Linked DNA regions of Stegostoma tigrinum. The protein of the gene in region 1 interacts with the protein of each later gene in a pairwise test. Links are inferred from orthologs where the notes say so. Each region holds a gene or a part of one and is shown on either strand. Other genes may lie near its edges.

Region 1 (6,840 bases):
AGCTTATCTGTTAGCTAAGGGTTAATGGGTAAAATTGTAATCTCATGACGCCAAGCAGCAGTGACCACTATTCTAGTTTATCTGAACACTTTGTTAACTAAGGGCTAAAGAGTTGAAATTGTAATCTCATTAACCGCATCTTGTTTGTTCAGTTCTCTGTAAGTCTTATTACTATTTTGTGGCTATGTCACATGCCCATTGCCTGATCCAACTGCCAAACGGAACGATTTGCATCTATCCAGATTTGTATAAATACTGTGTGTGTATTATAACCCTTTCCTCTTCTCAGACTGACAGTTAGGGTATCAATACCTTGCTGTCAGTAGGAAAACCCGCCCTTGTACAAGTAGAAGATATTGTTTGTGAGTTCCAAAAATCTGTCTGTGTGGTCCTCAGAGAACCCAGTCATTTAATCTTTGACATAAAATTGGCAACGAGGGTGCGATGCCAATAGGCTGACAACATCTGCTAGTGAATGAAGTGAACTGTGTGGTCGTCAAAGAGCCCAGTCTTATTATCTTTGACACAAGCACCAGCTCAGAGATTGACACTACATGTGATCTAACCTGTCAGAGTGAGGACGTAAAACAAGTAACAAAATAACTTTGATGACACCCTGGTAAATAGTGACTGCCTAGTTCCAGCAGGTAACAGATCCTGTGGCAGGGGCATGAGGAAATCAGCAATATAGAAGAACTGCTAATCAGATATATCCAAGAAACCAATTTTCAGCCATTACACCCAGTATTCTCGGCGTGGGCTCCTATCAGCAGGCCCCCCTCATTTGCTGTTATCTAAGAGGATCACCTACTGCTCATGTGGTTGCTGCTCTTTTGTATCAGCTCATCCTCCATCCAAATGAAATGGTCCATAATGGAATCCATTTAAAGAAATTTGATCTTACTGGGGCATGGTGCGGGCTTGGGGATAACAGCAATGTCAGAAAGAAGATCGATGGAATTTGAAAATTTCCCTCCAATTTCTTATTTTCAGGGACTTGGAGAGACTGATTCTGGTGCCAAAATGATGTTGAAGTCCGACAAACATTATAGAAATGGACTCATATTTTAATGAGGCTCTCGCCTATCCTGACTCATTGGCTAAAATCTGTGGTTAAAATGGCAAGAATAGAGTGATCCTGCAGTGACAGTACTAATTTGCCGTCCCTGTTCATGCTTCACAGAGAGAACTAAAATTCTATAGGGTACATTAATGAATTAAATATGTTGCAGAACTGAAAAGAGGCTTACTTCAAATTTACATCAACATCCATATAAGCCTATAATTTGTGATTGTATGAAGCATGGCAATTGCTGTAGACCTTAAAGATGGTCTTGCTAAGGGATCTATCAGTCTCTGTGTTTGGACCTTTACCTCTCTGGGCAAGCAATTGGGTGGAATGTTGTGTAATGAGAATTTTCAGCAGGGAACTGCAGAGATGACATCAAGATGCTAAACTGCTCAATCACATTAAAGAATTTTCACAATCAGTAAACCAGGAAGTGGAACATTCTGGTAATCAATTCCCATTAATTAAAATCAGAAGGCAAATAATGATATGAGGTTAATGAAATGAAGATCAAATACAGACATGTAAAATTTAAAAATTGATCATAATGAAGAAATCAAACAACATTGTTATTTTCCCAGGGTGAGTTAGTTATTCAGAAGTAGCTACCATCCTGATTGCCAGTAAGTATCCTCAAAGAACAAGGTCGAATTTATTTTTTTTTCATTCTAATCACTCAGTCCTTTGGAGCAGGTAGATGTAAACCCAGGCCTCCTGAGTCAAAGGTTTGGCCACTACCATTGCATCACAACAGCCCTAAGATATACATAGTTTGGGGTTCATCACCAGCCTTTTTGGGGAAGAAAGGAGTCAATTCTTTTTACATCCATGGATTTCACTGATGCTTGATCTTGCGGTGGGTGAGGATCGAGGAGAAGCATCACGAACGATTCAGTACTTTTGTGTTAATCATCATTTGTACTAATTCCTGTTGGAATTCAGATGCAAAGATGGAAAATCAATGAACACGGATATCTTATCTTCAAAAACCCTTGATCTAACCCTAGACTGAAACCTAGCCTCAAAACATGACCTTAACATAACCCAACCCCATGCCTAACTCTGAGATAATGGGAACTGCAGATGCTGGAGATTCCAAGATAATAAAATGTGAGGCTGGATGAACACAGCAGGCGTCAGCTTTTGTGCTCCTGAGATGCTGCTTGGCCTGCTGTGTTCATCCAGCCTCACATTTTATTACCCATGCCTAACTCTGCTGCCTTTAATTTTGTATCATAGAATTTATCTTCAAGGCTAACAGCTAAGGTGCCCTTTCCTTTCTGCTTTCCTTGACTCTCTTAAAGAGGATCCTTATCAAAACAGTAATACGGTGACTGGTCACCACAATATACATGATTCTATCATCTAGTATAACAGAAGCAAAAACAGAAATAGCTGGAAAAGCTCAGCGGATCTGACCATAGAGAGAAATCAGAGTTAATGTTTCAGATCCAGTGACCCTTCCTCAGAACTGTGAGGAAAAAGTTGTTTTTTTATGCAGAAGATAGGGTGGGGGGAGGTGGTAGGGAGTAAATGATAGGTGGAGATAGAGCCCAAAGAGAGAAGAAGAATTGCACAGACAGAGGAGTGGATAACGGTCAGGCTAGGAAAATGAATACCAACTAATGGAGATTATTATTGGCTAACAATGGGTTGTGCAAAATTGCAGACTATGTGATAACAAGGTCTGGTCTGTGGGGATTGTCTAGGGGCATGGGAGAAGGTACTTCAAGCCCTAAAATTGTTGAACTCGATATTGTGTCTCGAAGGCTGTAGAGTTCCAGCAGGAAATGAGATGCTTTTCTTCCAGCTTGTGCTGAACTTCACTGCAGCACTGTAGCAAGCCTGAGACAGAGATGTTGGCCAGTGAATAAAACGGTGTGCTGAAGTAGCAGGCAACTGGAAGTTCAGGTAGCTGCTGTTTCCACCACCTCCAGTGGGATACCACCACCAAAGACATATTCCTCTCCCCTCCCGTGTTAGCTTTCTGCAAGGACTGTTCCATCCGGGACACTGTGGTCCACTCTTCCTTCACTCCCAACACTCCCCACTGCACCTTCCATACACTTGCCCATTTATTTCCTCCCTCCTCAGTATCCAAAGGCCCAGCCATATCTTCCAGGTGAAGCAGCACTTTACCTGCACTTCACACAATGTAGTCCACTGCATTTCCTGCTCACAATGTGATCTCCTCTGCAATGGGGAAATGGGTGATCACTTTGCAGAACATTTACCTTCTGTCTGCAAAAAAAATCCTGTGCTTTATCCACTTACTGTTTACTCCTTACCCATCTCCTCCACCCTATCCAGCATAAAAACCAACTTTTCTGAGCAACTATCAGTTCTGATGAAGGGTCATCTGACCCCAAAACGTTCACTCTGATTTCTCTCCACAGATGCTGCCAGACCTGCTGAGGTTTTTCAGCAATTTCTATTTTTGTTTCTGATTTCCAGCATCCGCAGTTCTTTCGGTTTTTATAAATCTGGTTTGACAGGTTCGGTCTTTTACATATTAATTAGGCAGCGAATTTAGCACCGCAGCCCGGCTGATGTGATTCAAATGATTGTTTTATTTTGGAAATGCACCTTATATGGCTATACCTCATTCAACCAAAATGAAACTCAACTTTCATGATTTATAATCCTTCGAAAAAGTTTATGCCACTTGCTAAAACTTTGACCATATTAGGGTATAGTGGGATCTGGAGCTGTCTCTTCAACCTAACAATATCTGATGAATTAATCAGGGGTGCCTGAGAATTGATCCGAGCTGGGAGAGACCGTTTCTGGTCAACATATTGAGGCGTCAAGCTGTTTGCCATTTGGAAAGGAGCAGGGGGAGGGAAGCTGAGGAGATTTTGCCAGTAACCCAACCCTGGGTTACTGCAGTTCGTGCACAGCAATGGGTTAGTAATGCGGCTTTATCATCTCGCCCAATCGTCTTCACAGGAGCAGAGAAGCAGCCAGAACATTCGAGCCTCCGATTGCTCACTGCTCCCAGATCAAATTCTAGAGACTTTCCAGTGCAGCCCTCTGCCTGCCCGTGTCACTCTATAAATATTCCAGGGGAAAGGGGAGAGCGGACTAACCATGGCTCAGTTCACCATGCCCGGCTTTACAATGAAGAATTCTCCGAATCAGGCGGCCAGCGGCGGCGATGCCCTGCCCCCGGGCTGGGAGATCAAGATTGACCCTCAGACCGGCTGGCCGTTCTTCGTCGATCACAACAACCGGACGACAACGTGGAGTGACCCGAGACTGGATCTGCCGAAGGTCAGTGCTGTCTGTCCGTCCCCCCCCCCCCCCCGGAGACGGTTTCCGAACACATTCTAACGAGGGGCTGTTTGTTTTTCTCTCTCTCTCTCTGTGTGTGTGTGTGTGTACATGTATGTAGGTGGGGGTAGGGGTGTGTACGTGTTTGACCCTGGAGGGTGTCTGGAGGGAGAGACTGTAGTGTTTTTACAAATGCAGATCAAGCCTTTCTGTCTGTGCAGGGGTGACAGGGGACACTCTCCTCCCCAGCTTCAGTCTTTTGTAACGAACAGCCCGATTAACAAAACAAAATCCCTCCCTGGAGTCGGGATTGTTTGCTGCAAAAAGGTAAATGCTCCATCAGACACCTTTACTCAATCCATGCTCCCCTCCCCCAATCCCCCCCCCCCCCGCTTTTTAATTTTTGTTTTTAAATGAGAGATAAAGCGAAACCAACATTGACAGCAATTTGGCCCCGAACAAAAATGGCATGTTGATGGTGTCAGTGATGAAGATTGGGTTTTGGGATGACGCACTGCAGTCCGATCTGATGAAACATCGCCTGGGTAACCTTTAACTTACGGCCTGGCCAAGGTTTCGAGGAAAGGGGCTACATGTGCAGCGTGATCTGTGCAAACCCTCCCCTCTTGCTGTGCTTCAGTTTCTCGGATCATTCACCCCTCCCCTCCCTCCTCCCAAACAAAATAGCAGGCCCTAAGTTGAAAATCCGAGCAAGATTTGGGTCTATCTGAGTTGATGTCGAACTCGCTCGGTGCCTGCCTGGGCTCAGGCAGGGCCTGGCAGCTGGGCACCTTGTTTAGCTGCCTGAGTCAGTTGTCAGGAGAAGGTTTGGAGACATGAGGGATCTGTGGAGCTGCACAGCTGTCAGCTGTTAAAAACGCTGGTGGTGACACCCAGCACAGCTCGGAGGCACGTAGTGAAGTTTCTACCATGTGAAGTAAGCTACCAGAAACTGCTTTCCTTTTTTTTCCAGTGCACATAGATTTGCTGCTCTTTCCGCATGTACTGCCGCCTTTAAATCCACCTGCAAAATCGGAGACATGAAGCAATGCGTTTCAAGGCAAAAATAACACTGAGCTAATTACAAAGAAAAATGAGGCAACAGATTTTAATTGATGCTGATCTGAAGATCATATGCTGATCCTGTCACACTTATGACCAGGATACATAGCTAGGAAATGTGCATTCCTTGTTTTAACATATATTGTAGCCTAAGAAAAATGGGCAAAGTTGTGAACAGTTGATGGAAGCTAAACAACTATGCTGTCCTAATCTTGTATAAACCAAGTTTTAAAATGAGGTTATTGTACCTAAATGAATTTATGATAACCTAAATGCCGAGACGTGCTTTTTAAAAAGCAAAATTCCAATATTTTGTCCCCTGAAGAATTTTATATTCCCTGGTAATAGGAGGAAGATGGTGCATTCAGAGTTATGAATGCTTTTGTGGCTACAGTAATCAAGCTCTACAGGCAAGGCTAGTTAAACAACCTGAGCTGGTCTGCCTCCTTTTTGCTGGAATCCACTGTATTGGCTCAGAAATGAACAAACTGATCAGCAGCAAGTTCTGGGCACAGGTGTACCTGAGCTCCAACTTTGAACTGATTAGGAGTCATGTGCTGAATCACTGAGCTGTGAGTTTGGAGAATGTTTAACTTCTGAAGCAGTTGAAGCACATATCTATTATTCTTGGCTGACTTTCATATATTGAACTAATCTGAAACTGACATTGAAGTTTGTGCACTTATCCATTTCCCATTTAGTCTCTAACTTCATTGGGAGTGTTAGCTCCAGTGTTGGAGCAACCCCTGTTTCTTTCTTCTCTTTTTTTTTTCCCTTTTCTTTAGTCTAATTCATCTTAAATGTTATAATTCACTTGGATTCACTTGTGGTAATGCTGCAAGTTAATAATCTAATTACTATTTGAGTGTAAACAATTCCAACCCGCTTCACAAATCTATTGAGTTCAAGCCTTTCGAAATTTAGGTGTAAGTGGCTGTTAGGCATCTTTACGGTCAACGATGCCAAGACATTAATGTGACCTACTGCAGGACAGTACAGGACGGAATCTCCCCTATGATTCCTAAATGACTGAGTCATTGCTCTCAGCTTGAAGGGACACTAAAAGGAGACATTTGCTGAGAGGAAGCGAAAATGGAATTGAGTGTACATAGATCACCCTTTTACTCTGGTTTCAACAACCAGCAGGGGTGACTGGGAGCTAGTTTGTCTACCAGTACTGTTGAGAGTGGTGAAAGCAACCCAAAAATATTAAAAGTAAATTTAGAATTAAAACTTCAACCTAGATAACAGCAGCATGTGTGCTAAATAGTGATGTCAACTTAAAAGTGTCCCAAAGTACTTTACAGATAAAGAGTTTTGTAGGTAAAATTATGAGGTCAGACCATAACTCTAGTTAGTGAGATGCGTTTTTTTTGGGACTTTTTAAAGTTGAAGAGAGATGGAAATATTTTGAAAAGGTGTTTTGCACAGCACGA
Region 2 (7,161 bases), on another chromosome or scaffold:
CTCCCTCGCTATCAGCATCCTGGAAGTTACCATTGACTAGGGACTCAATTGAACTCATTACATAAACACAGTGGCTACAAGAGAACGTCTGAGGCTAGGAGCACTACAACAAGTAACTCAATTCCCAACCTCCCCCCAAAGCCTGGCTGCTATCCACAAAGCACAGGAGTACGATGAAACACTGCTTCACTTGCCTGGATGCGTGCAGCTCCAACATCAATTTAAAAAAAAGCTTGACACCATCCAGGACAAAGCTGCCCACTTCACCGGCATCACATCCACAAGTATCTTTTTCCTCTACCACCAATGCTCAGTAGCAGCAGTCTGTACTATCCACATGACGCATTGTAAAAATTCACAAAGATCCTCAAACAGAACTTTCCAAATCCATAACCATTTCCATCCAGAATCACAAGGGCAACAGATACACGGGAAACCACCAAATGCATGTTCCCCTCTAAGCCACTCACCATCCTGACTTGGAAATACATCTCTGTTCCTTCACTGTCGCTGGGTCAACATCCTGGAGTTCCCTCCTTGATAGCATTGTGGGTCAACCCACATCACGTGGACTGCAGAGGTTCAAGAAGGCAGCGCACCACCACTTTCTGAAGAGCAACTAAGGATGGGCAATAAAATTCTGGTTGGCCAGTGATGCCCGTGTCCCACAAGTGAATTTAAAAAAACTACTAAGGGTGCACTACCTAAATGATTACACCTTCCACCGAATGAGATGTTAAACTGTCACCCTGTGAATCCTCTTCATTCAGTGTAAAAGACTGCATGGCACTATTTCAAAAGGGCAGGGAATTTCTTCCTGGTATCTAATAGTTATCCTTCAAATCAACATTACCAAAGCAATTCATCTAGTAGTTATCACTTTGCCCTTCATGCATTTTCACTGTGCTCAAATTGGCTGTAGTGTTTCTGACATTACAACAGTGACTACACTTCAAACAGGATTGCCTTGGCTGTAAATATTCCTTTGTGGAATTGTGGAAAGTTGTTGAAGAGAAAAAGAGAGAAAAAAATCTTGCATTTATCGTGCACCGTTCACAACCTTGAGACAACTCAAAGCATTCCATAGTCACTTCTACCTAACTTCCACAGACAGCATGACAATTAATCTGTGACTGAAGGACATCATGTTTGTCATGATTCTAAGGAAAGTTCTTTAGTTCTTCAAAATTAGTCCCGGGGATCTCAGATCCACCTGGGACGGAAAACAGCACAGTTGACAGTGCAGCCCTCCCTTAGCATTGTATTCCAAGTGTCAGCTTGTATTTTTTAATTGTTTACATAGTGGGCCTCAAACGGACAACCTTCTGACTCAGAGGCAGGAATGCTACCTTGTGAGGCACAGCTCATTCTTTTAGATGCTGAGCAATATGCCATACATTTCCAGAAATTCTGCTATCATCCCACACAAGTTCCTGCTATTCTTTATTCTTTGACAATGCGTGAATATTACATGCATCCTCTTCTATAAGACACACGGTGTCACGAGTACAAGATCCCCACAATGCTATCCAATACTTCACAACTTCAGTGGGATTTTAAAATTTAGAAATGTTAAAACTGCTGGTTCACCATGTCTGTTTTTAAAAAGATCCATCACGAATTTCACAGATGAACACTCTAAGTAGCAACTGCTAAAATGTTACAGGAGCAGCAACTTCAGAAAGATACATCACAATTGCATTAAAACTGCATAACTTTAATTTGCACATGTAAATGTAAATTGTTAGGTGAGGATAATGTCTGCATAGAATATTGTTTAAAACCAAAGGAATGAGAAGCAAAATAAAACAAATGATATAATAAATTGCAGGGCTCCAGGGAGAGAATAATGAGAATGCGCCTAATTGGATAACACCTTTAAAGATCCAGCACAGACACTAAGGGCCAAATAGCCTCCTTCTGTGTTGTAAGATTCAAATTTAGAAGAGAACGAGTCAAAGAAACTGAGAAAGAAGGCCGGACAGCAAAAGGGACGTGAGGTCAGAACTCAACAGTTGCGTGGAATTCACAACACAAAACAGGTCGTTCGGCCCATCTGTATTTTAAAAAAACTCTATAAAAGTTACCATCACAAAAAAAAGTAAAATAACTGGTCATTATCACGTTGGTGTTTGAGGGAATAGGGCTCCAATTGGCTGTTTTACATTGCCACATTGACGACTCTTCAGAAGCAACTTTGGAGTGGTCTGAGACCACGAAAAGCGCTATATAAATGCAAACCTGCGGCTCTTCGAACCGGACTCCGCCCCACCCCCCCCCCCCCCCCCAAAAAAATCAACCGATTTGGTAAATGCAATAGTCTGAGTACAACAACCTGGGAACTGCTTGGGCATAGTCGAGTTAATTCAGTGTCATACTTATGGAGAAAGTTTTGTTGCTAAACTCACCGAGGAGCCGGCCCAGAAGGGACAAGAGTTCCTGACGTTGGGGGACTCGGTGAGGGACAGAGCCCCGAAACTGAGAGACACGATGGAGAAACCCAGAGCGATCTGGAGTAGTCCCAGAGCGAAGAGGGAGCGGCCGTAGAGCGGGCAGTGCAGCGGCTGGCGTGCCGGGCTCGTATTGCTGCTGCTGCTGCTGCTGGAGTGTAGCGCTCCGGGCCATGACACACACCGAGCCCGGTTCCGAAGCGGTGCCTCCCCGCTCGGTGTGGTGGCTTGCACTGGGCAGCAAGAAGTGGGCAACAGCACTGGCAGTGACATCCGGCAAGAAAAGAGAGAGAGAGACAGACAGACAGTAAAAGGTTGACTGCGGGACTTGGTAACCCACAGTCACACCCCAACAGTGAAAATCACTGCGTTTACTTTGGTAAACCCCTTCAATCCCTCAATTCACTCAAAAGCCATTTGCTCGGAAATGCCTTTTAGGAAATGCATCGCTCTCCCAAGTCGCGGTACGTCCCACTTTCCCAACATTTTTTTTAACCCTCCCCTTGTTTTCCAAAGTGGCTGAGTTGACTAGTTTTAAAATAACTCCAGGCGAGTTTGGGATTGCATTACTAGATCTGGCACACACACAGAAGCCAGTCACTTTACAAGGGAGACTTTGACCCCCCCCGCGGCAGCCACAAGCTGTGGGTTTAAAACAAGACTAGGAAACCTAATTTTTAGATTTTCAAAACCAATCTTGAGGTTTTTAGTTTGACCTAACTGAACATTTTTTTAAAAAACTTGTATTTAATTCTTTTGCGGGCTCCATGTGTTCCACTATGTATTTACCTGTTTATCGACCTCGTTTATCGTGAATTACTAGTCCCAGTCGCCTTGCAGCCGTACCGATCGGGGGGAAAATTACAACCAGTGGAAAATACCGAGCATGTCAGTATTATTGACATAAAATTTCTTTTGTTCGATTTCAAAAATGCAGCCCTAGCAAGGTGTCTAGTTTTGACTACGATCTTGATTGAAGCCTGAAAGGGACAGACAGGTTTGTTGGCTGTAAAATAATAACGTTTTTAATCGACAGTACGATTAACATAAAACATCCGACGATCCTCACGAGAGTACCGTCAAAGTCCCAGCCGCAGAAGACAGAACAATGCTGGGGACTCATTGGAGTTTAGAAGAATGAGAGGTGATCTCAGTGAAACACGTCGGACTCTAAAAGGGCTAGTAAAAGCTGGGAGTGTGTTTTCCCCTCGTGGGGGGTGTCTAAGACCGGAGTGCATAGTCTCAGAATTAAGGGGACACCAATTTCAGGCTGAGGTGAGGAGGAATTTCTTCTGTGGGTTATGAGTCTTTTGGAACCCCTTGCCAGAGAGCTGTGGGGGTAGAATTGTAACAGTGATAATGGGAACTGCAGATGCTGGAGAATCCAAGATGACAAAGTGTGGAGCTGGATGAACACAGCAGGCCAAGCAGCATCTCAGGAGCACAAAAGCTGACATTTCCGGCCTAGACCCTTCCCGAAACGTCAGCTTTTGTGCTCCTGAGATGCTGCTTGGCCTGCTGTGTTCATCCAGCTCCACACTTTGTTAGCTGTGGGGGTAGAGTCGTGTTGTGTATTTATGGCTAAGATAGATCCGTAATCAGTAGGGGAACAAGAGTAATGGGGGCTGGGGGGAAAGAAGTGCAGGGAAATGAGGAATGTTGGATCAGCGACGATCTTATTGACTGGCAGAGGTGGCTTGAGAGATCGAATGGCCTACTCCTGTTCCTGTTTCATGTGGTCTCATACGTCAGATAACTGGAGAACTTGGCCAAAGTAGGCTTTAAAGAGCTGACTCGGGGGGGGGGCTTTCCAGAGTTTGCAGGCCAACTGGAGCTACAACGGGCACTGGTGGCAAAAATAAACTTGGTGCAATTCCAAAAAGCCAGAACTGACAGAGTGCGAAGAACCCAGAGATTTGTAGGGCTGGAGGCTGCCATAGCAATTCACATGATTAAGGCATTGGAAAGATTTGAACAATGTAGAATGTGAATTTTACAATCAAGGTGTCACTGGACCTGGGAGCCACTGATTGAACAAGACTTAGTGTTACTGGATGAGCAACAGTTTGTAGAGGGTGTGAGATGTGAGACTGGCCAGGACAGTGTTGGAATAGTCTAAGCTAGAAATTATTACAGCGTGGTTACCATAGTTTTCAATAGCAGCAAAAGAGGAAACTCACAATGTAAAAGTGTATGATTCGGGAGTGATTTCAGCAATTGTTGGAAAATTTCATGCTGTCTTGCATTTAACAATGGATAAACACATCATGGAATCTTTCTAGATAGCAAGACATAACAGAAGTACAGAAGGCATAAAGTGCTAAAATGAAGATTAATTACAGAGAATGTTATAGCACAGAAACAATCTGTTTTGCCCATCTGGCCAATATTTATGCTCCACATGAGCCTGCTCCTTTCTTATTTAATCTCACCCAATCAGCATGTTCTTCTATTCTTTGTGTTTCTCTAGTTTCCCCTTAAATGCATCTGTGCTATTTATTACAACCACTCCACATGATAACAGGTTCTACTCTTTAAGTAAAGGTATAAGCACCCAGTTTTTACTGTAGCAGAGCACCTAATGATGGCTGCAATTTGTTAGGCATGAACCTTGCACATTTATCTTATGAAATGTTTAGCATGACCACTTGCTGAAGGTACAGTCTGAGAATAGAGCAGCAGGGGAAGTCAAACTTTGGGACTTTGAATGAACAGGCAACTGTTCCAAACAAATAAATTGAAGAATTGGGAAAGAGAGTACAAGATTGGAACAAGGATACGTATGTTAATTTAATATCAAGACTATTGCAGAATGAAAACACTTACAATTTAATGTATGCTCAAATTATCTGCATCAATCTCCAGTCTTTTAAAGCCAAATAAATAAAACTTTTGACTTGTATGCAGTCACCTTTATGAACTAAGTTGAAATTTGAATTGGTGTTGAGGTTCCAAGATGGGTCCCTAACGATTCCTTTGACGTCAGATCTTACCAGTTAACTCCATATTGCCGTTTCTTCCTTTTTTTTAAATCACTCCTTATTCCAATTCCTTTTATTTATACTGTAAGTTGTTTGACAGTTTGAAATTGTCGTTCCTACATTTGACCTGTTGAGTCCAAGACATAGCTTCAGTAATACGGTATTTTTCTCAGTAGGCAGTTCTATTTGTTTCTTTATCTGTCCCACACTAATTTTAATCTGAACATTGAGATGAGAGATATTGGTTGGTATGAGAAGGGATTAAGATTACATGGTAAGGTGGGGAGGTGCTGGGAGCAGAGGAGTTGACCAGGGCATCCTGGGAGGTAAAGTGCCTATGAAATGTTAATGGGATCACTGGCAATGAGCATGAGAATCTGACTGTCAATGACATCCTTTTCCTTAGAGTATTCCTACTTCCCTTCCATCTTGATCCAGGCCTAACTCTTTCTGGTATTTTCTATCCTTCCACTGCTGCTTCTGTGCAGAATCTAATCAACTCCTGTCTCCAGCCCTTCACCACATCTTTAATGCTTCATCCAGCCCCGACACTCTGCAAGTATGAGTGGTGGGTCCAGAAGTGCCCTTAACCATAATTTATTTCCTTCATCTTCCATCACATTCATTTTCCTAAAATGTGTGTTTTCAAAATTGGATTCATTTGCCTATGTTTCGTTTTGAAAAAAAATCAAAGTAGAAGTTTGCGGTGGCACAGTGGCTCAATGGTTTGCATGTTCTCCCCATATCTGCACGGGTTTCCTCCTAAAGTCCAAAAGATGTGCAGGTTACGTGATATGGTGTTGGGAAATTGCCCGTGGTGTCTAGGGATGTGTAAGATAGGTAGATTAGCCATGGAAAATGCAGGGTTACAGGGATAGGGTAGGGGGTTAAGTCTGCATGGGATGCTCCTTGGAGGGCAGTTGTTGACTCAGTGGGCTGAACGGCCTACTTCCACACTGCAGGGAACTTTGATTAGGTATTGTCCTTCCGTCTCTTAGATGTTAGAAAATGTAATTATTCCAGTTGCTAAATGTAAAAACAAACACTGGTGAGATGGGAAATGTTCAAAATTCAACATTTTAAACAAAATTTAGCAGCAGAAAAAATTCTTTCAGCTTAACGCAGTTTGAGGTTTACAAAACAGAAGCTACAACAGAAATGTAATCACATTCACTCCCACACCCCCCCGCCATAGCACCCTGCATAACTTCGTTTTTAAACATGCAAGGAACTTTACTGATTAAAGCTTTCAAAAGTTGTCCACTCAGCTCATAAATTTTGACAAATAACAGCTCAAAACTGCCAGAGACTAAAGGAGAATATACCACTTGGCTGAATGTAAATGCACACTCTCAGAATGCGGAGTTCAAACTCAACTAGGAGCACTGTAACTCTGGCTGAAAACAAAATCCAGTGTAAGCTTATACTTTTGGTAGAAATGGAGCTCCTGAAGTTTAAAAATAATCAGAAGATTAATTTAATGATGACTAATAGTGTAATGCCCAAAATGGCATTGGCTAATCCTATTAGACAAATGTGCTGTAAAACAATGGTTGCTATTACATCCTGCTGGTGTATGAGAAAGCGAAAAGCTTTCCTTTCAAACAGAAGAAGCCAATATTTTTAATTCACAGATAGTAGGGGGTAAAATGACAATGATGCCACTGGACTAATCTAAGTGCTCTGGTGACGTGGGTTCGAATCCCACCATGGCAGCTAGGGAAATTAAA
Region 3 (6,867 bases), on another chromosome or scaffold:
TTGTGGAAAACAGGCACTGGGCTTCAAGCAAAGCAGCACCTCCACTTCAAAAGAAATACAAAATTTCCTGATAGAGTGGCACTTTGCAACTCTGACCCACCTCCATTCAATTCAGGTGGGCAGTCTGAAAATTTGTCCTGAAAAAAGTGTTTTTGGACTGAAAAACCATTTCAGTTATAAAAATGTTGCTTGTTAAGTAGCATGTAATTTTAATTTGCAGATTGCCTGTACTCTAAATTGAGGTTAGCCTTCCCTCAAACTTGATTTGAGAAATTTATTGCATTCATTAATGGTAGCAGCTTAAAAGCATTAAGATCAGTAAGTGCCGAACAAAACACTATCCCACAGATTCAAGAGAACATCAGTAGCCACAATTAGGATTAGGCCATTCAGCTCATTAAGCCTGTTGCATGATGCAATCAAGTTATGGTCAATTTTGAAATAGGCAAGTTATACAATTCTATTAGGGAGGGTCACTGGACTCAATATTAATTCTTTCTGTACAGATGCTGCCAGATCTGTACAGTTTCTCCAGCATCCAGTCTAGTGATGGATGTTATAATACTGAAGTTTCAATTCACAAAATCCTTAATACAGCATGAACATTTTTCACACTGCTGCCTAGATTAACTCACACCAAATCCTATTCAAACACTGTACCAATGGTCACCAACTTATCATTTCATTATCAATCAAATCCCTTCTACCAGCAATCTACTTTAATACTGGCAATCAGCACATACCATGTCTGAAAAACTAAGTGATGGCCATAGCTGCAGCTCCTTAAAACATGGCTTTCTAACCAAGCTTCCAGTCAGCTAGCTCAGGGTCAAGTGTTAAGAGAAACAGTTGGAAGGTACCTTGGGGCATCTTACTACATTAAAAAGACATGCATGAAAGTCAGGAGATTGACAGTGACAATAATGGGTCACACTGCTCAAATGGTAGAAGCTTCCCATACAGCACTCAGCCTTTCATAGTCATTGAGTTCAAGATCTTCAGCATTATTCAACATTTTACATCCTATTGACCCTGATTACAATCTACACCATAGCTAGATCTAGATTTTCAGTAACTACATTATTATGCTCGAGTCAGAAAGGTTAATTCTGGACAGCCATAAACACCACCCATAATGGAGGTAGTCGCAAACCCTACTATCACATTTAACGTGAATGAATAAAGCACCCAAGTGTTAGCAGAAAGTTCTGACTTTGTATTCATGGCAGAAGTTTTATCTGGAGATTATTGTCCTGTACATTAGTTCAGCTATGAAAACCTACTAGAGAGATCTTCATATTAAAACATAAGATTGAGACTAGTGGACAAAACAGTTTATCAAAATAAAAAGGACTCAACATTTGTTTGAGAAACTTAATGACTAATGCCTAGCAATCATCAACATAACCTGTAATTGTTACCACAACAAACCAGATGGTTCTCAACAGAATCTGGCCAGGCCAAGCAGCTTTTCTCCATCTCACTGGAGAAAGTAGATCTAGTTTCCTGAAGAGGATGGTGGCAGCAAGTCTCAAGAGAAAGAGCAGAGTGTAGTTTATAGTGGCAGCTCACAACCTTGTTATACACTTCAGTGAGAAACAACTCCACACACACCTACCATACTGCTCTGGATAACATATGGCTCTGGAAGTTTACCCAGCAGATACTGCCTTCAATAAAGAGGCACACAAAGATCAGAAACACAGTCACCAGCATCCCCCTCTCTGATGAAGGGTCTAGGCCCGAAACATCATCTTCTGTGCTCCCGAGATGCTGCTTGGCCTGCTGTATTCATCCAGCTCCACACTTTGTTATCTCGTATTCTCCAGCATCTGCAGTCCCCATTATCACCAGCCTCCACACTCAGGTAAAGCAGCATGCTTTCACAAACAAACGTTTACCTACAAACTTCACAACATTGTACAGTAGTTAAAAACCATTGGCTTGAGTGGTCATGTTCATTCCACCAATCCCCTATAGACAGCTTGCAGTTTACAGGTGTATTAACCCATTAAAAAGGTGGCAAAAGCATAAGACACTAGAAGTTTATTTTCAAATCAAAAAAGAGTTGCGGCAAAACTCAGGTCTGGCAGCGTCTGTGCAAAGAAAGTCGAGTTAACATTTCAAATCCTGGTGGCTTTTCTTCAGCTTTTTAATTTAAAAGAACTCCATTTCCTTATAAGTCTAATGCAGATTCAAAATCCACAACGAGCACGAACAGTTCGTTTTCCATTTAGGCTCTGGCTACTTAGTACTAAACAGCGATAGCCTAATAACCCTATTTCCAACCCCACCCTTAAATTATTTAACAGAAACTGCGTATGCTTTAATGGCAATGTTTATTTTAGCTAGTGTAAATGCACTTTGCTTAATGACCGGTGAAAACAAATTTCAAATTAAACCGAGCTGAGATCAGTTCGCTACGCTTAGGGGACTTTGCGAGTTGAGAAATTTGTGGATTCTTCCGTGAAAAGTAAAGACACTTCTAAAAGTAGTTAGCTATTCTCACATCATCGTGGTAGCTAGCTTTAAAAATAGAGGAGTTGACCTAATACAGAGTCTTATGACTAATTAAGTAAGATGTACTAACTTTCATCTCTTTACCAGGCACCAGGATTTATAAAAAGCAAACTATTTTAAATACAACGATGTGAACAAGTCACTTTTGACTCAGTTCAAACAAACACCCTCCCTAACATTAACATACACAACATTGCTTGATTTGAGGGGCGGGGGTGGGCTACGAGACACTTTCTTCCAGAACGTTTACAACATTACAACTGATTCTAACCCACACACCATCATCGTACAAAATTTTTACTTAAAAAAAAACAAAACACTTCGACAAAGCCCAGCAAACGAACTAGAGAATTGCAGAAATACCAACGAGTCCTTTACCTCAAATCCTTCAAATGCACCACGTCCGACAGCGGTGTAAAGGGACCCCTGTACCCGTATAATAAAACACAAACAAACCACACACTGTAGCTCTGTCCCTGAGTATGAGCCAGTATCATCTGACTCTATTTAACACATGACGCCGCACTGCGGCGAGGATCGATCGCTATTAGCTGATTGCCAGCTCGCTCACGGGCACTAATGGCCAATCCCAATCAGTCAAGCACTTCTGCCGACCTCAGGAAATTCCCTGCCTTGGAGGGCTTTGGAGACACGGCAGTAATGTCTCTACCTCTGAACCAAGAGACCCGAGTTCAAGCCCTAGAAGCATGAAATAATGTCTGTCAAGTATTTTTAGCCAACTTGTGTCCAATGAACTGTCAATGGGACAAGAAAGTGCTCACATTAACTTGCTTGGAATCTCTAAAGCACGTTAGGTAGGCCACTTCTGGAATACTGTGATAACAAGGTGTGGAGCTGGATGAACACAGCCGGCCAAGAAGCATCATAGAAGCAGGAAGGCTGACATATTGCACCTAGTGTTCAGTTCTGGTCTCCCTGCCGTGGGTAGGTTGTTGTGAAACTTGAAAGACTTACAAGGATGTTGCCAGGGTTGGAGGGTTTGAGCTGTAGGGTTAGGCTGGGGCTATTTTCCTTGGAGTGTCAGAGGCTGAGGGGTGACTTTATAGAACTTCATAAAATCATGAGGGGCATGAATAGGGTAAAAGGGTATTTTCCCCAGGGTAGGGGAGTCCAAAACTCGAGGACATATATTTAAGGAGGGAAGGGAAAGATTTAAAAAGGACGTAAGGGGCAACTTTTTCACACAGAGGGTGGTGCGTGTATGGAATGAGCTGCCAGAGGAAGTGGTGGAGGCTGGTACAGTTACAACATTTAAAAGGCATCCAGATGGGTGCATGAAATGGAACGGTTTAGAGTGATATGGGCCAAATATTGGCAAATGGGACTAGACTAATTTAGGATATCTGGTTGGCATGGATGAATTTGACCGAAGGGTCTGTTTCTGTGCTGGAGAGCTCTAAGACTCTGTGATTCTTTGCAGAATAAAGTGGACCTCTTATGTAGGTAGAGCTTACAAAGCAAAACTGGTCGAAGAACGTGATAGTCATTGAGGCAGCTATTAAGAATCATTCAAACTAGGAGCTTGCAGGAACTAGGAATGTTGTACAATAAGACGGAGGAAACATCTTCGGCAAGGACAATGGAACGGTATGAATGCGAGGGGAGTCACATCCGTAAGACTTTAAAAGCCTTCAATCTTGGGATGTGGGTGTCACTGACTGGCCAACATATAGTGTCCACCCATTGTCCTGCAGAATGTAGTGCTGAGATATTTTGTTTAGCCACTGCTCCACAATGCTGTTGGGAAGGGAATTCTAGGATTTCAATCCTGCAGCACAGCAGGGACGATAATATATTTTTGGTGTGTGGCTTGGATGGGGACTTGCAAGTGGTTCCCATGTATCTGCTGCCTTTGTCCCTCTTGATGGGAGAAGCCACAGATTTGAAAGATTTGAATTTTAGTGGTGCTGCTGTGCAGCTTCTGTATTGTGTACATCGCTGTAGTCCAGACTGCTGTACCTGAGCAATGGGAGAGTAATGTTGAAGGTGTTGGATGAGGTGCCAATCAAACTTCTTGAGCGTTGTTGGATCTGTGCTTATCCAGCAAAGTGGGGGCTTGTGCCTTGTAGATGGTGGGAGGGCTTTGGGGTGACAGGTGGTGAGTTGCTCACTGCAGTATTCCCATTCTCAGACTTGTTCTTGCAGCCATAGGATTTATATGGCGGGACCAGTTCAATTAAAGGACAATGGAAACCCTCGGGATGTTCATCCTAACCCCAGGGATAACAATGGTAATGCTCTTGAATATCAAAGAGAGATGATTAAAGGCCTTTTTATGTGATGTAGGTATTGTCTGGTATTTTTATGTTTCTTGCCATTTATCAGCACAAGCCTGATAATTGTCCATGTCTTGATTATTGTCACGTGTGCCGAAGGATAGTGAAAAGCTTTGTTTATGAGCAGTACAGGCAGATCATAGTAAGCAAGGATGTACAATCAGGGGTTGTGAAAAGAATTAGACAGAGCATACAGGTTATATTGCACAGTGTGCATGCTAGGCAGATCAACATTAGCAAGATTAGCATTATTTGAGACTAGAGTCCATTAATCAGTTTGATAACAGCCAGGAAGAAGCTGTTCAGGAACCCACTCATATGTGAATTTAGGCTTCTATATCTTCTGCCTGATGGAAGAGACTGTAGAAGATCATTACCAGGGTGGGATGGGTATTCAATGATGGTGGCAGTCTTTCTGTGGCATTGAGCCCTGTAAATGCAGCTCATGGGTGGAAGGTTGGCTTCCATGATGTTCTCAGCTGTGCACACCACCTTCTGTAGTTTCTTATGGTCCTGGGCAGCGCAGTTGCCGTACCAGGCCGTTATGCACCCGGACAGTATGCTTTCAGTGGTGCATATGTAGAAGTTGACGAGGGGCCTTATGGACATGTCAAATTTCCTGAGCTGCCTGAGGAAGGGCAAGTGTTGCCTTGCTGAAGATGGACATTGACTGCTACAGAATCTAGGGAGTTGAACATTGTGAAGTCATCAGTGAACATTCCCCCTTCTGACCTTATGATGGAGGGAAGGTAATTGATGAAGCAGCTGAAGATGGTTGGGCCTAGGACACTACCCTGAGGAACTCTTGCAGAGATGTCCTGGAGTTGACATGATCACCCCCAACAGCCACAACCGTCTCCATTTGAGCTAGGAATAACTCCAACCAGAGAAAATGAGGATAGATTCGGAATATTGACATTTAAAATGCCAAATGGATGACATTTCAGTGACAATTGGGAGGTAAAAGAAGCTGATTATGTGGTATGTAAAAAGTTGTAAAAAATGCCTCTTCTGATTAAACAGCCTGATTTTAAAAATTCCAAACTAACATCAAGAATATGCTATAGACCACTGAATAAAACTAAGGAGCAGGACTAGGAAGTATGAGGAGAATAAGTATGTTTCATTGTTAGACATCAATCAGCTAAATGCAAACTGAGTGAAGTAAACTAAAGGGGGACAAGGGGTTTCCCTACCCTTTCATCTCATACTTTGATATCTATTATACAAAACACTACAATGACTGCAGGGGCATAGTTAGCTCAGTTGGATGGATAGCTGCTCTGTGATGCAGAATAATGTCAATATCACAGGTTCAGTTACTAATGAAGGACCCACTTCGTGACCTCTCCCTTTGAGTCTTGGTTTGATATATTGTTGTCACATTTACCAAGATACAGTGAAAAGTGTTGTTTTGCATGCTCTACAGGCAGAGCGCACCATACAAAGTATGTCAGGGTAGCAGAACGGAGTGCAGGGTACAGTTTTACAGCCACAGAGAGGGTACAGAGAGAGAGAAACCAGCATTAACATTTGAGAGGTCCATTCAAAAGTCTGACAACAACTGCCGTTGAATCTAATAAAACATGTTTTCAAATTTTTATATCTTCTGTCCAACAGAAGAGGATGAAGAGAATATAACTGGGGCGGAAGGGGTTTTCCCTGCTGGGGTCAGACTTTTGAATGGACCCTTCAAATGTTAATGTTGATCTCTCTCTCTGCACCTGCTCTGCGGCTGTAACACTATACCCTGCACTCTGTTTTGCTACTCTGACATACTTCGTATGGTGTGATCTGCCTGTGGAGGGTCTTTCACGTTAGTTGCTTTCCCGAGGCAGCAGGAAGTACAGATAAGTCATAGAATGGAAGGCTGGTTTGCATGATGGACAGGGCTTGTGATTATGGCTCACTGTAGTTTCTTGTGGTTTTGGGAACAGCAGTTACCATAGCATACTGTGATGCATCTAGATGGGATGCTTTCTATGGTGCATCTATTAAAAATTGCTAAGTGTCTAAGACATGGTGACCCTCAGGTTGAACCATCGCCCAT

Evidence for each region. The genes of interacting proteins can lie anywhere in the genome.
Region 2: the proteins of bag3 (region 1) and fam189a2 interact in a two-hybrid assay, tested with the Homo sapiens proteins (2 studies listed by BioGRID and IntAct). The link is inferred for Stegostoma tigrinum from reciprocal best matches to the Homo sapiens genes BAG3 and ENTREP1.
Region 3: the proteins of bag3 (region 1) and litaf interact in binary tests that used the Homo sapiens proteins (3 or more experiments, as listed by UniProt). The two-hybrid records come from large-scale screens. The link is inferred for Stegostoma tigrinum from reciprocal best matches to the Homo sapiens genes BAG3 and LITAF.

What each region holds. Positions count from the first base shown.
Region 1 is NC_081373.1:25,968,252-25,975,091, forward strand, and holds the start of bag3 (BAG family molecular chaperone regulator 3), read left to right. Parts: upstream 1-3,837; 5' UTR 3,838-4,159; coding exon 4,160-4,342; intron 4,343-6,840. UniProt on the Homo sapiens protein: Co-chaperone and adapter protein that connects different classes of molecular chaperones including heat shock proteins 70 (HSP70s), e.g. HSPA1A/HSP70 or HSPA8/HSC70, and small heat shock proteins (sHSPs), e.g. HSPB8.
Region 2 is NC_081356.1:28,054,937-28,062,097, reverse strand, and holds the start of fam189a2 (endosomal transmembrane epsin interactor 1), read right to left. Parts: upstream 3,027-7,161; 5' UTR 2,724-3,026; coding exon 2,409-2,723; intron 1-2,408. UniProt on the Homo sapiens protein: Functions as an activator of the E3 ubiquitin protein ligase ITCH in the ubiquitination of the CXCL12-activated CXCR4 receptor. Thereby, triggers CXCR4 endocytosis and desensitization, negatively regulating the CXCL12/CXCR4 signaling pathway.
Region 3 is NC_081376.1:5,010,631-5,017,497, forward strand, and holds the start of litaf (lipopolysaccharide-induced tumor necrosis factor-alpha factor homolog), read right to left. Parts: upstream 3,027-6,867; 5' UTR 2,899-3,026; intron 1-2,898.